Linked DNA regions of Sus scrofa. The protein of the gene in region 3 interacts with the protein of the main gene of each other region in a pairwise test. Links are inferred from orthologs where the notes say so. Each region holds a gene or a part of one and is shown on either strand. Other genes may lie near its edges.

Region 1 (4,132 bases), on a different chromosome or scaffold from region 3:
GTAGCTTCCCATTCAGCCCTCCCTCCAGCTCCATCCACAGCCTCACGTGACAGCCATTCCTCCAAGGTGGTGGCTCCCAGGCAGCCCAGACTCCCGTTGCAGGCCCCCTCTCTGTGCACTGGTTGGGCCAGGGACTTTGGTGGGAGGGATTCCAGGCACCCTCCAGTGCAGTTTCCACTGGCCGCCAAGCTGTGAGGAAGCACAAGCTGCAGGGGAGGCCGTGCCAGCAGCCAGCGTCTTAGCCACACCTGGGTGAGGAAGCTTCCCTGCACTGGAGATGGCTCAGCCGAGCAACCAAATGCACTGTGGGGACCCTGAATGAAAACTGCCTGGCTGAGCCCCGTCAACTTGCAGAACAACCAGAGGTAACTAAAAATGATGGCTGCTTCCAGAAACTGAGTTTCAAAGTGATTCATCCATCAGGCAGCAGTATTAACCAGGATACCCTCCACCCTTACCCAGCAGAGGTACGTGGTCCCACTGGACCACCCAGCACTCCATCCCCCATCTGACAGCCCACCCATCACCCACTCTGGCCAGGAGGCACAGCAGTCAATGGACAAACAGGTTCTGCCTGTCCACACATGAGCCGTCAGTCTAGTTGGACATGTACAGTACTGAGGGGAGAAAAATGGGTGGAGCCTGCACAACTGGGGGTCAAGGAGGACCTGCGTTGCCGTCTCCAGGCAGAGGCCTGAAGGGCTGTGGAACAGTACCGTGCATCAGGTCCCTCCAAGGGTGCAGACTGCACAAGGAAACAAAAGGCGCCTGGGGCGGGGGCGGGGGGGGGTACAAGAGGCAATCCTAGGGGACCACATCACTGGGCCAAGGGTCAAGGAGAGGACAAACTTGACACAAAGGACAACAAAAAGCTGTGTCTTTTAAGTACAAGACAGAGATGGTGTACTCAGGTTTTTCTTTTTTTCCTCTTTTCCTTTTCTTTATACAGCTGTAGCTGTGGCATATGGAAGGTCCTAGGCTAGGGGTCAAATTGGAGCTGCAGCTGCCAGCCTACAACAGAGGCATAGCAACTCAGAATCCGAGCCACATCTGCGACCTACATCGCAGCTACGGCAACACCGGATCCTTAATCCACCGAGCAGGGCCAGGGATTGAACCCGCATCCTCACGGATACTATGTCAGGTTCTTGACCTACTAAGCCACAATAGGAACTCCAAGTTTTTCAAAGCTCTTCAAAGATTAAGGCAGGACCCACAAGTAAAACAGTACAAAGCACCCCACCTTCTCTCACAGTGCTGATAGCTGCTTTGCCAACAACAAAAATCTGGCAGCTAATATTGATCAGCATGCACTGCTAGGTTACAAATCACCATTTTTATGGGTTCAAGACAGCTGGTTCTCAGTGACTGCATAAGGTTCAGATTCTCTGTGCAAGCACTAAGCCAAGATCTCATGAGATCTCCCCATTCAGAGAGTGACCGGCCCAAGGTCACACAGAGCAAGAGGCTCTGGAGCCACAACAGGTCTCCTGGGCAGAGCCTGGCCATGCCCACGACTGGCATTTGCACACCTCTTATCCTTTACTGACCAGCTTCCCTCTGACCATGTCTCCTCACAGCCAGACCCTCAGGGCCTGCCACAGAGCCAGACATACAGGCTTTCTTTCAGAAACCAATTCACTCAACAGGCACCACACCAAACTGGACACCAGCTGCCATGAGGGTTCCAGGGGCTGAACGCTGGGCAGGGCAGAATCAGCAGCCAAACCCAGCAGCTCTCAGGGCAGGCTGGTTGGGGAGGCTGCCCCACCCACCTGTGACACGCAGCCACCTGCCAGGCCAAGATTGCAGGCCCCTGGGCCAGACCCACACAGACCACCATACCCCTGCTGGGCCAGTGGGAGGCCCTACATGAGCTTCCCTCCCACAAGTCCAGCCCCTATCTGGGAAACTCGAGTTTCCTAAATGCCCCCTATGGAAGCAGAACTATTCTGGAAAGACCCCTTGGACCCAGCATAAGGCAGAAACTGGCTAGGAAGGCCCGGCCCTCCACTAAGATGCCCACACCCTCTCTGGCGCAAAGGCTGGGCCTGTTACTGCCCCTGAGAAAGTCACTGGTGGGAAAGAATGGCCAGTTCCGCCCTCCACAGCCATCTACCCACGATGTGCCAAGATGTAAACACCCAACTTAGCCCCACAACCAGGCCTAGCAACCGAAAATGCTCCTCACCAGGCGGTGCCTGCTCCTCCCCGGGCCTGGGCAGCCTCCCCATTGGGTGAGGATCACTTGCTGGGGCCAGGGACCTGCTCCGCATCCCCAGACAGAACGCTCAGACTCACAGTGACTGAGTCCATAGCAGGTGCATCATTCATCTTCACTAGGGCCTCATAAGATGACAGCAGGTTCCCACCTTCTTATCCAACATGCAAAAAAGCCCTCAAAGTGAAAGTTTTTCATCCCTGGCTTGACGCGACATGCAGCAATTTGCTATCTTAACCCCTATAATCCTAGGTGAGTTTGATGAAGCATAATAGTCCCAAACACCACGAGTCCTCAAATCCGAAAAACTCAATTCCAAAATCTATCTGGCCCCAAGGACAGGGGGCAAGGGGTCTTGGGCCTGCTCTCCGAACAGAGAGGAAGCTTGGAAAAGTGAGTAACTTCAAGGCGTAGGTAAAGGAAGCCCTTCGCTGCCCGCGAGCCAGCCCCAGGTAGGACCTCGAGTCCTGCCAGGGGTCCGGAGGGAGCGCAACTCCACGGCTCAGCGCCCTGGGAGTCTGTGGGCTGGGGTCCCGAAGGCGGGGTCCGGGTAGAGAGAGCGCTCCGCGAAGTTGGCACACACCGGGCGGGAGCCGGGGGTGGCGAGCTGGGGGCGGGAACCCGCGGGCGAGCGCCCCACCCCGCCCCCTCCCCACCCCGCGCCCCCGCCCTGCACATGCGCATTGCCGCCCACGATGTGGCAGCCTCGAGGGGGGGCCGAGGCCGGGGGTGGCAGGCGACGGAACCCCGTGCCCCTCGGGCCCCGACGGGAGCAGCGCCGCGGCCCGGCCCCAAGCCCTGGGCCGGGGTCCTTGGCGCCCGGGGCCCCGACGCGGCCGGGTCGGGCGGCGGGGACACGGGCTGGGGCGGGGGCCGGCTCCCCGGCCCGCTCACTCACCTCCGCCATGGCCGTGTGTGCGCGGGAGGCGGCGGCCGCGCCGGGATCCCCGGATGCGGGGCCGCGCGCTCATTGGCTGTGGAGCCAGGCGGGCGGGGGCGCCGGGGCGGGGCCGGGGGCGGGGCGCGGGCGGGCGCGTAGTAGGTGCGCAGACGGGGACGCGCGGGCGGGCGTGGGATGCGCGTGGTCCCGCTGGACTTGGCCCGGGAGGTGGGTACGCCGCCGATGAAAGTAACGATTCCCGATAAGCACACTTTGTCAGGCTAGAACTCTGGTCTCATGTCCTTCTTCTAATCCTCTGGCCAACTCCCAGTTGTGCTCCCGTGTTACAGATGGGGACATCGAGGCCAGAGTGTCGGGCCACCCGGGTACGATGGTGGAGTAGGGACTGAAGTCTGGGGAGCAAGGTTCTGGAACTTTCCGCACTTTTGCCCCATCCGTCGTCGCTGGGGAGCCGGGGGCCCGCGCGGAAGATGGTCAGGGATTCTGATGGCCAGACGGGCCACTGACTCTGGACCTGCCGTTGTCTTGGGTGGAAATTAATTGGTTAGACATTATGAGTCTGCGCCAGGACGGAGGATTCTCCGCGTCTTACATCTCAGACTGAGACGAGTGGGGGCATCAGGGCAGAAGGTGTAGACAGAGCGAGCGGGAGAAGATGCAGTGAGGAGGCTGGAGCAGGGATTAGGGTGATGGCTGGAGCGGAAGAGGGGTGGGCACAGAGGACAACCCTGCTGGAGTGAAGGTGGGGAGAGCAGGAGGCACCCAGGTTCTGGCTTGCACAAACCGGGCAGAATGGAATCGGGGACCCGGGGACTCTGGAGCCCCATTCCTTTCCAACCTGTCGTTGGTATCAGCATCACCTTGAGGAGGTGAGATGCGGAGAGCTCCACGCTTGGTGGGAAAGCATCCAACTCTCGAAGAATCTACTAGACAAGGGAGAACCCCCCTACCCCCCTTAGAAGGGCTTGAGTCAACTTGGGGCTACCAGAGAAGATCCCTTGGAGGGAGCT
Region 2 (4,256 bases), on a different chromosome or scaffold from region 3:
GCCACTGGATTGGGAGGGGGCTCAGTCTCATCCATGGAGGTCTCCAGCTCCCTGAGAATAGAGCCGATGGTGGTCGACAGGGAGAAGTCCTCCTCGCCCAGGAAGAGGGGCTCGGGGGGCAGGGCAGGTGCAGGCGTCAGGCAAAGCGCTGCTTGGAGTTGTTGGAGGGTGTTGTGGATGAGGACATGCCTTCGAAGGCTGGGTGCTCGGGGGCCCAGGCTTCGCTGGACTTTGTCTAGGGAGATGCGGAGCAGGGCTTGCTGGTAGCTCCGAAGGCCTGTGGGACTCCAGTCCCACTTCTCATCCTCTTCTTCCTCCTCCAAATCTGAGTGTTTCCTCTTCAAGCCTACCATGATGCCCTGTGGTAAGAAGAGGGGCAAGTGAGACACAGCAGGGTTAGTTCAAATCCTGAATCTCCTGTATGGCTGTTGATTTTTAATGGCCCAAATAAATCTCACAAGGCTAAGGAAGAGAGTATATGTATGTGATTAACAAAACAAGATCTGGACGCAAGACACAGCTGGGTTTGAATCCCACTTACTGGCCCATGTGGCCTCCAGTAGTGAATTTACTTCCTTGAGACTCAATTTCCTCATCTACAAGGAATCTTAATTCAAGTTCTGGAGTCTTAAGGCTGTTCTTTCACAATACTCTTATTTTCAAACACGACACACACAAGACAGATACTGAGTACAGACACCTGGCCTGCAAGTAGAGATTCCTAGGGTTGACTTCTGCCTTTCACACTGCTCAGCTGTGAGATCTTGGGAAGTGATACTACACGCACAATGAACAAGAGTTCATTGCCAGTTATTTATTGAAAAAAAATTTCTTTTTAGGCCGGCACCCTGTGGCATATAGAAGTTCCCAGGCTATAGGTCAAAATCGGAGCTTCAGCTGCTGGCCTACACCACAGCCACGCCAGATCCTAGCCACATCTGTGACCTACACCGCAGCTCACGGAAACGCCTGATCGTTAACCCACTGAGCAAAGCCAGGGATTGAACACCAGTCTCATGGATACTAGCTGGGTTCCTTACCGTCCAGTCACAACGGGAATTCCTCATTCAATATTTTTATTTGAGGAGTTCCCGACGAATCCGACTAGGAATCATGAGATTGCAGGTTCGATCCCTGGCCTTGCTCATTGGGTTAGGGATCCAGCATTGCCTTGAGCTGTGGTGTAGGTCGCAGACAAGGCTTGGATCTGGCGTGGCTGTGGCGAAGGCCGGCGGCTATAGCTCGGATTAGACCTCTAGCCTGGGAACCTCCACATGCCGCGGGTGCGGTCCTAGAAAAGACAAAAATATATATATTTCTTTAATTTGAAAACAAAATGAAACAAAAAATAAAATACAGGTCCACAATCACTTAAAAAATTTTTTTTTTGAATGTCTACTATATTCTAGCCACCTGGAACCCTGATAGGGAACCTATCTGTGGAGACTCTTCTTTTACAGAGAACAAATATTTTTCCTGACTGGGAGCTCTCGCAACAACAGTGAAAATACCTCCCTCACTCCCTCTGTGGTTGCCTTCAGGTTTCTCCAGCATGAGTCCGGTAGGAAAACTCGCCAGAACATTACTCACGCCAAGCCCCGCCCCCGACCAGCCCATCCAACCAGGCCCCCGCTCTCTACAGGCCCCGCCCCCTCGACGAAGTTCGAGTTCGGAACCCAGACACGCCCCAACTTGGTCCTTGGGGCTTATGGGAAATGTGGGCCAATAGCCTCCAGGTACACGTACTGACGTTGAACGCGCACTACAACCCCCGGAGGGCTCAGCAAGCCGCAGGGACGCACCTTCCCCGCCTTCCCTTAGGGCATGCGCAAAGCGGCCCGTGGTGGGTGGGGGAAGGGAACCCGGACGTCCAGCTGCCCGGCGCCCGCCGAGCCCCGCCCTCCGCTGCCTTCAGGGCTGCGGGTCTGAGCTCCACGCCCGAAACACCCCTCCCCCACCCGACTCCGATTCTAAACTGCTTTCTACCGGTCCTGCGGACCGTAGAAAGTCCCAAATTCTTCCATCAAACTACTCTCGGGTCCAGAGACCCAGGCCCCAACACATCGCTCAAAGACTTACAAATGCTCTCCGATGCGCTCTGTTCGGGCCGCTAGGTATCTGAATTTTGAGACCCTCCCCGTCAACTTTCCCCTATTCTCCGGTCTTTCAAATGCTTCTCAACCTCATCTCCGACTCCCCCTCCGGCTCCAAGACCTGACTGGGAACTCTCCTCTCCCCAGGACCCCTCTCCACCACTGCGTCTAGGAGATCGAGTCCTTGCCCCTATTTCTTTCGCTTCTCCAAATGCTCGGGATCACAGCGCAACGCCTCAAACTTTTTCCTGAACAGTAGTGCCCGACTTTAACTCGTCCCGGAGACCTGAATTATCCCAATCTTCAGATTTCCTGCCCCCAAAAGTTCCTTCCCTAGTTCTCTCGCTTCCCAAACACCCCGTGTCCCAGCTTCAGACTCCCTCCACTTGAAGACCCTGTCCCCAAAACTTCGCCTTCCTTTCAGGATCTCGAAACTCAGTCTCTCCAAACCTGCGCCCCCTACTCCCACCCATACCCCGCCTCCACAACTCTCCGGAGCGCCTCCACTTCCCTCAACCCAAGGCGGATCCCAAGCCAGGCAGCCACACCTCACCTCAACTGCCAGGTTCGCAACAACTACCTCCGGGAACGCCCGCGGCTTTGCGACCCTCCTTTGCGAGTGCTGGGTAGGGGCCGCGCTCACCACCCCGGGGCCTCTCGGTCTGGCCTCAGGCCCACCCAGCTCCGCCCGGAGCCGAGCCGCGAACCATGATTGGCTGGAGTCCTGCCCACCGCAGGGCGCGGATTGGCTAGGCGGAGCTACCGCCTGTCGCCTGGAGACGCCGGACCCGCCTTCCCCTCCTTCGCTCCGCGGACCTTTTAAAGGATTCTGACTTGCCGGGAGGCAGGGCCACCTCTCTAGGGTGGATGTTGCACCAAAACTGTTTCTTTCAACTCGGCTACTGTCCTCGCTCCAAGACCGTCTTCATTGCTCTCTGCGACCCCTTTATACCAAGCCTGGACCCAGTCGCGGAGGAAGATTGACAGGCACGCCCGGCCCCACCCCGCTTACCGGGAGGACCCCGCTGCGCCTCTCACGAAGGCCGCGCCCCTAGCTTTGGAGGGCGGACCCTGCGGAGGAGGAGGATGACGCACCGAAGGCCAGCCAATAGTTTGGTGCGGCCTGTGTTGCCTGGGAGATCTTAGCCCTTCCTCCCTCAGGATGGCACCCCTGCTGCGGGAAACTCGCTCTTGGCTCCCCACTGTCGTGGGGACAAAGTCCAAACTACTTTTTTTTTTTTTTTTTTTTTTTGCCTTAAAGCCCTTCAGGTCTGGCTTGATGCACTCTCCCTTGCTCTCTACAATCCTGCCGCACCGACTGACTCACTCTTTCTAAAATGGCTCCACCGCCGTGAACAGAGATTCGGTTTTCTTCCCTGCCTTATCTTCAGTGCCTACAACAATGCCAGGTTCGTATCAAGTTCTCGAAAATGAGGGGGGAAAAAAAAAGACCTCTGGCACAACATTGTAAGTCAAAATCAAGGATACTTTTAAAAAGACCTCTGGATCTTGAAACTTTTTCCCATCCTGAAAATACGCCCTCAATTCCCAGGCTGCCTCTTGAGTCAGAACTCTTCTCAAAGTTTTCCTCTCAGTTCTGAGGCTCCAGGGATGGTCCAGACCCATTCTGGCCTCCCACAGGGTCCTGTGCTTCCCTCATCGCGACCCTGACTCCTTTGCCTGAGTCTCCCCGACCTTGGCCCTGGCCGTCACTGGATTGTGGGCCTCCTGGGGACACGTACCAATGTTATCTCACTGCTTGGTCCCCAGCATCACCTAGCACAGGGCCGGACACAAGGCAGGCGCCCAGTGAAAGAAAGTTTGTTAAATGCAGACACTGTAACAGAAGAAATAAAGCGGGAGGAAATGAGTGCGGCCGGTGCCCAGAAAGCCTGAACCAGCCCTGCCCCACCCCCACAACACGTTCCCGCCCACGGGAGGAGAGAGTTTTCTCCAGGCCGCTCCGGAGAAGGAAGGTTTAAGGCTCTTTGGACCAGTCCTCGCCGGTTGGAATTTGTCAGTCATGTAGTCCAGCTGTGTGGAGAAGAGTATAGGATGGGAATGGATTTGGGGTTGGGGGAGAGCTTTGGGGGTTAGGTAAGCGAGGAGTGGTTTGCTCAGTCCTGGGAAAGGTGTCTCTGGGGGACAAAGGTGGGGGAGAGT
Region 3 (2,720 bases):
TGTCCATACTGAGCCCCTTTAAGTCCACATCACCACACTCCAGACAGATGTTTCCTGTGCCCAGCAAGATCACAGAGAGAGAGGTCTTGACTTTTCTCTTGGTTAGACCAGCTTTACTGGTGAGTTCGTCCAAACTCTCTAGTACCTGTCTACCCCCATACACATCATCAGTCCCATGTAAAAGAATAAGATGGAAAATGTCTCAATGTATTTCATAAGTTTAGCACGTCTCTGGTACAAAAAATTCAAGAAAGGTAGCACAAAAGCGAAAGCACCAACTGAGCTTACTTATAAACAAACATGCATGAATCCTACACACTACCTAATTATTACTGAAATGAATACAACATTGCATTAAAAGGTATAAAAGCACTGTACTGAAAACGTAAAAGTTACACGTGAAATACTGCACTGTAAATCCTGAATACTCTAATGTCCCACCCCCACCCCTCCACCACCCTGGTGAGGGTCAGAAACCATCAATCTGCCTCCAGACCTTGCTAGTCCTCGGAGACACTGTTGCGGGGGCAGTGGGCAGTGGGGTTGGCCTCCCGCAGGGCTCTGGCCTCTTCCAGAGCTTCCCTGTAGCGGGAAGGCCAGGCCTGGGGGTCTTTCTTAAAGACCCTGGCCAGGAACTCCATGATTTGCATCTTGGTGATTTCACGGCTGGCACGGGAGCCCCAGAAGAACTCATACTCAGGGGGCTCGACGTGGGGGACGCGCTGGTACTTCAGGTAGTTCTGCTGTACGAACTCCTCAGTGATAAGCTTTCTCACATCTCCAAAGGTGGAGTGCTTCTTCCAGGGCCTCAGCCCCAGGATGCGCAGCACGTTCCACACAGCACTCTCACGGGCACCGCGACCCTTTACGTAGATGAGGCTCAGGATCATCAGCAGGAGGCCTGTCATAGGCATGCGGTTGCTCAGAGCAACCCTGTCCAGCTCCTCAGGCGCCAGAGCTTTGACCAGCGAGAACTCCATGGTGTGCAGGCTGGTCAGCCTCAGGTGCAGCCCGAACACTCGGGCGAGGATGAGGCTGGTGCGCCTCAGGATGCTTCTGCACCACTTCTTGTAACTGCCGATGACATCTTTCACCATGTCTGGGAACCAGATGATCATCCTTTTCTGGTCCTTGACCAGCACGTACCACATGAGCTCATGTGCCTTCTGCACCAGCTGGGCCGGGGCCGGCGGCGCTGGGCTGGGCTGGGCTGTGCTCCGGGCCTGGTGGGCGCGGCCTTCCTCCGCGGCCTGCTGTAGAGCCTTTGGGTCTCCCTCTTCGCTCAGGGCCTGGGGCGGCGGCGAGGCCAGAGGGGCGTCGGGTGGGCCTACAGGAGGGATCTCTGGCCCTGCGAGGGTCGCGGCCTGGGACGCAGGCGGAGAGGGCCCCCCGGCCACCCCAGGGCTGCTGTGCACCTCGGAGTGGGAGGCATCGGCTGCAAAGTTGGGGTCACACACGTCCTTACTTTGTTCGGACATGTTTGCTCCGTCTGGCAAGGGCTCGGCCGCTGCGTCCAGGAGCTCTTCGACTCTGCGCTCCCTCGGTGGACTCCTGGAGAGGAAGTGCGCGTTGCTGCGCGCGGCGCCTTCCGCAGCGGCCGGGCGGGGCGGGGCGGCGGCGGGACAGGCTAGTGCGCCTGCGCATCCGTGGTCTGTGGGGGCCCTGCCGGCTGGCGGTAGGGGCGGGGCGCCTGGAGGGCTGGGGTGTATTGAGGTCCCAAAGGGGTAGGGGGCCTAGTGGAATACTGGCCTCATGACCCACAGTCGTCCAGTTTGGGCTAAGGAGGCGGTCCTGGGGCCGGGGGGAGGAGCGACATGGGTGAGCACTGGACAAGGAGCAAGTTTAAGAGGAAAGATGGAAACTTAAGCTTCCAAGATGCTGAAGCTGAATTTCTTAGGAAATGTTCAATTGGGTATATGTAGAATCAAGTTAGATGTGAGTTTCAGAGAAAGGCCCAGGTTGGCACATAAGCTTGGGTTTTGGATAACAAGTGTGAGAATTTAAACTGACAGAACAATCAGGGTCACCCAAGAAAATGTGTCAACTCTGAAAAAGATGCGGGATATCAGAATCATGAAAGATAGCAATAAAAATTGATTGATTCACTGCGAGTTCCCATTGTGATACAGCGGAAAGGAATCTGACTAGTATCCATGAGGATGCAGGTTCAATCCTGCCCTTGCTCAGTAGGTTAAGGATCTGATGTTGACATGAACTATGGTGTAGGTTGCAGACAGGGCTTGGATCCAGTGTTGCTGTGGCTGTAGTGTCAGCTGGCAGCCGTAGCTCCAATTCTACCCGTAGCCTGCTATGGGGAAAAAAAAAAAAAAAAAAAAAAAAAAAAAAAGATTTCCTGACTGCCAAGTCCAGGGGGTTATGAAGGAAAAATGCAGAATGTAGTCAATACATGTACAACTGAAACTTTCTTGAAGACAATGTACTAATGATACTGTTAGGTGCTTGAATGGTCATTGATTTTGGTTTTTCTACTTCCCTTGGGTAATTTTGATGTAATTTTAATTTTTTGATTAGGATCTCATCACACAAAGATTGCTGTATTTATTAGCACAGACTAGTATGATGTCTTTCTACTTGTTTGTCCAGGAAGGACCCTAATTCCCCTTATGACTGATGTAGCCTTCACGGGTGTGTTCGTGTAGACCCCACCTCTGCGCTTTCACACAAACTGACTGGTTCCAGAAATTGACAGCCACACCCAA
Region 4 (4,269 bases), on a different chromosome or scaffold from region 3:
CGAGTCCAGTTTAACTTGACAAGTAATTTTCCCTTCATGATAATAAAATTGTCTCAATATTTAAAATTTTTTTATGATTTGAAGAGCCATTAAATTACAATGCAGATGTTTTCATGAGGAACATTTTAATCTTCCTGTATCACTGTGACAACCTGTCTGAGCAGGCAGCATTATTGGTGGAGGTGTAACTATTTGAACTCTCTGACAACTAGGTTCATTTTCATTGTAAAATAACACAGTAACACATTATATGCAGATTAACTGTCTCACAGGCTATGAAAGCAGTTTAAACTTAGCTTAAAAACATCTGTTTTAAACCAAAAATAACTTTAACTTAATCTCAAACTTAAAATAACTTTGCTTTAACTTAATCCTTTCTATCAAGTAAACCAAGGCAGTTTGCTGGGTTGGAACATTACCTCTAAAGCCACACTGCCGTGAACTTGGTTAGTTGTTTCTTGGGTCGTGTTATTGATTTCTCTTGTGTGTTTTCTTTCCTGCTCCTTTGTTAAGTTACACCTGTTCTTGAAATGCCTGGCTTAGTGAATGTGTCATGAGTTCAAAGCAATTAAAGCGTGGGTTGCTATAAGCCTGAAAACAGTATTTAAAATAGAAACTATAGTATTCCCAAAGTTGAAAACACGGTTTTTGTGGGTTTTTTTTTTCCTATCCTCACCTTATACCAGAAAGGATTTGAAGCTATTCAGCAGACCCTAGCTTAGTAAGATTATGGAATTGGTAAAGAAAATAAAGGAAAGGAAGGTAGGAAAGGAATACAGATTGATAGCCTCGGGGAATGGTAAGTAAATAGAGCATCAGGATTTGTAACCGCCAAGGTGGAAGGGGACTTGACTTTCCCTAGGTGCCGGTGTGCCCGGGTCTGCTGGGTGCTCTAGGGATGAACGCACTCCTCACTGAAGGCTCTGAAAGACTATATACCATGGGGCTGACCAAACTCTCCTACGTTTTCAGTTGTTTACATAGAGAACGTTATTACTTCATAATTAGATTATTTGCCGAATTAGTAGCTGTCTTATTTCAGCATGGAGACAGCTGTGCGAATCCTCTGCTTGGGCGGCTGTTGCATTCTTCACAGCAAATTCCAACATGACAGGTGCAGGTGGCTGGTCTTAGTCACACCGAGGAGGAAATTGCAGGGTTTAAAAGGCTTTCCCTAATCTATCGCTATTATAAATACTCAGTTTAATATATGAATTTCTCGGTAGACTGAGAGAACAAATTAGCAGATTTCCTTTGTATGTGTTTAACTTACCGGGACTCTAATTAAAACCTTAACTATCTTTTATTGCCACCACCAGAAGCACCTGCGGAGCCGAGCAGCTCCCAGCACCAGGCGGCCGGTCTGCGGCGCGGCTCCCAGCGGCCTCCCCCGCACCCGCCGGAGGGCGTGCGCATGCGCGGCCGCGGCCCCGCCCGCGGTTCCGGCTCGGCGAGACGGAGTGCGCACGCGCGGGCGCCGTCGGCGCTCGGGCCCGGCCCCGCGGGACTACGGCGCACGCGCGGACGCGGGTTGTGAGGGGCCGAGGCGCCGCCTCTGCCTCCCCGGGTCCCGGCGCGGCGCGCGGGGCGTCTCGTCGCGGGCTCGTGCGCGGGGCCTCGCTTCACAGGGCGTGGTTTCCCCTCACGTCAGAGCTTCTGAAGGAACAGGTCAGTGGTTTTAGAGGCGAGAGGAGCGCGCCGGCCGGGGCCGGGCGCCGGCGCGGGTACCCGCTGGGCCCCGGGGGCTCCCCGCCGGCTCGCCGCGCCTGGGCCTGGACGGCCTCGGGGGCAGCGCTGGGTTTTGTCCACGGGGAGGGAGGGTCGTGCCTGAAACTTGACCTGTGGAAACAGAACTTTGTGTGTTCGAGACGCGGGTGGACCTGCACGTTGCCTTTTGCGTCGTGGGTCCCACCATTTAAGTAGTTTCAAGTCGTGCGAAGCAGCACAGCCCCGCAGGGGCCCGTGAATCCCTCGGATGCTTCCCCTTAAGGCGTCGCCCCCGCTCGTGCAGTTCGCTCCGCAGGCCCCAGTCTGCATCCTTCGCCCACCCTCGGGGCGGAGGTGAAACGCCGGCAGCTGAGCTGCTCTCACCTGCCCCCACGTGCTCCCCAGGTGCTCTCAAGGCATAAACGGTGTCCTCCAGCCTGTCCACGGTCATTCGCCTGCCCTTCTCTCTAAAGCAGGGTCTCTCCCCTGGCATCCTAGCGTCAGTGACATTTGGGGCCGGGTAGCTCTCTGTTGTGCAGGGTGGTACTCCAAACTGTACGATTTACCAGCATCCCTGGCCTCTACCCGTTAGATGCCAGCACCACCCTCCCCAGAGAAGCGCTGATCTAGAGTGGGAGCCACATGAGGCTCAGCATCAGTTTAAAATGTAAATACAGCACTTCCAGCTCTTTGGACTTAAAACGTCACAGCACTTTCAACAAGCCGCTTAGAAAATACTGACATCATGCTAAGGATATGATAAAGGGTGGGCCTAAGTAAAAAAGGGGTAGCAGGTTAAAACTAAGGTTCATTTAGCTTTTAGCAGTGCCCAGTTCTCAATGCTGATACCCCAGGCCGAAACGAAGCCTTAGAACTCGGCCCATCAGCTTGCTGTGCGATGACTGCCGTGGCTCAGCCCGCGTGCACTCGCACTGATACTCCGTCCTGTTCTCCCTTCTCGGGGGACTCCCACCATGAGTGTGCTGGCCCCCCTGAAGGTGTACCCCTCTTTATTCCATTGTGTTCACTCGTCATTGTCTTAACTCTCCCTACATCCTTTGGTTCTGTTAGCATCGTTAGGAAGTTATTTTAAAGTCTTTGTCTAGTGAGTCTGCCATTTGATCTGTTTCAGGGATGTGTCTGTGCCCTTGCACAGTTGTGGTGGTGGTGGTGGTTGTGAACTAATTCTACCCCTTCTCCAGGAATTGGTGTTTTGTTGTTCTATTATTACTATCACTGCAGGCTGTTTTTGTGCTAAAGATTAGCCTGAAGAAGCCTAAGTTCTTCCTAGACATGCACAGCGACTTTCTTAATTTCCTCCGTGTATTCCATTGCTATTTAGGATGGTCTGGTCCTCATGTTTCTGGCCCCAAAAGGGAGAAAAGAGAAAAAGGAAAGTGGGGAGGAGGGGCTAACGCCTTAAATCCTGTCCGAGGTGTCTCTGCTGGAGGGAAGTGCTTGGTGGTGGGAGCCTTATAGTGACGTCCCCCTGCCTGACGGTGTCTCCGTGCGCAGAAGTAGCTGTCAGCCACCAGGTCACAGGCCCCGTTACCTGAAGGACAGGGTCCCTGTTGCCCACCGTGCTCCCAGCGGTTGCAGACAAGCTGCTCCTGGAGCTGCTGAAACTGTGTTCTTGGATTTTTGCCCATTGGCATCCACAAACTACAGGGCCAGCTGATGGCCAGAGTTGCTCATGTGTTCCCTGCCAGTCAGTCCTCACGGGCACATGGAAGTCCTGTCACACACCCCCAGCCACACATCACAGAAGGTGTGTTTTCTCTTGCTGCCCCGTCTCAGCAGTGAAGGCCTTGGCCTGGTTGTCTCTTTGTTGCTTTGTCCCTGCACGGACCAAGCTTCATGCGGCCTTTCAAGGCGCACGGCGCCTCTCCTTCCCGTGAGAACTGTGACTAGCGTTCTGCTCTTGTTTCAGGAACACTGGCCTCTCCACGTCCTCACTCAGCTGTAAAGTTGATCCCTGAGCTCCACGCAGGAGCTCGTGCACAGCTTCCTGTCACAGGAATGAGGAGCCACTGCCCCGTTAAATGCCCAAATTGACTGAAATTAACCACATCTAAACTCTTTCCCTTGGCTCTGGATAGACTCTAGTGATCCAGGAGAGTCCCGTTAGACACGCGGTGCCGGTAAAATGACCTAGGTCCAGAGGGAGTCTTCCCGGAACCATCTAGTAACCTGTACACGTCCGTGCTCATGGCTTCCACGTTGACGTTGCAGCCTTTAGAACTGCCTCGCCTTTCTGACCACTTTCTTTGGAAGCTGTAAATGATGGATCTGCTACATCTGTGTTGCAGTCTAGGGTTGATACAGTGATAACTGTATTTCCTCAAATCTGAAAACATGCTGACTAGTAAACTTATACTCATTTTTTTTTCCATGGCACATGGAGGTTCTCAGGTTAGGGGTTGAGTCAGAGCTGTAGCTGCCGGCCTGCACCACAGCCACAGCAGCACAGGATCCAAGCCACATCTGTGACCTACACCACAGCTCACGGCAACGCTGGATCCGTAACCCACGGAGCCAGGCCAGGGATTGAACCTTCGTCCT

Evidence for each region.
Region 1: the proteins of NDN (region 3) and MIER2 interact in a two-hybrid assay, tested with the Homo sapiens proteins (2 studies listed by BioGRID and IntAct). The link is inferred for Sus scrofa from reciprocal best matches to the Homo sapiens genes NDN and MIER2.
Region 2: the proteins of NDN (region 3) and SERTAD3 interact in a two-hybrid assay, tested with the Homo sapiens proteins (2 studies listed by BioGRID and IntAct). The link is inferred for Sus scrofa from reciprocal best matches to the Homo sapiens genes NDN and SERTAD3.
Region 4: the proteins of NDN (region 3) and EEF1AKMT1 interact in a two-hybrid assay, tested with the Homo sapiens proteins (2 studies listed by BioGRID and IntAct). The link is inferred for Sus scrofa from reciprocal best matches to the Homo sapiens genes NDN and EEF1AKMT1.

Annotation. Positions count from the first base shown.
Region 1 is NC_010444.4:77,911,799-77,915,930, reverse strand, and holds the start of MIER2 (mesoderm induction early response protein 2), read right to left. Parts: upstream 2,801-4,132; 5' UTR 2,335-2,800; coding exon 2,302-2,334; intron 1-2,301. UniProt on the Homo sapiens protein: Transcriptional repressor.
Region 2 is NC_010448.4:48,709,951-48,714,206, forward strand, and holds the start of SERTAD3 (SERTA domain-containing protein 3), read right to left. Parts: upstream 2,801-4,256; 5' UTR 2,647-2,800; intron 360-2,646; 5' UTR 354-359; coding exon 1-353.
Region 3 is NC_010443.5:142,411,446-142,414,165, reverse strand, and holds NDN (necdin), read right to left. Parts: upstream 1,479-2,720; coding exon 501-1,478; downstream 1-500. UniProt on the Homo sapiens protein: Growth suppressor that facilitates the entry of the cell into cell cycle arrest.
Region 4 is NC_010453.5:1,092,319-1,096,587, reverse strand, and holds the start of EEF1AKMT1 (protein-lysine N-methyltransferase N6AMT2), read left to right. Parts: upstream 1-1,469; 5' UTR 1,470-1,668; intron 1,669-4,269. UniProt on the Homo sapiens protein: Protein N-lysine methyltransferase that selectively catalyzes the trimethylation of EEF1A at 'Lys-79'.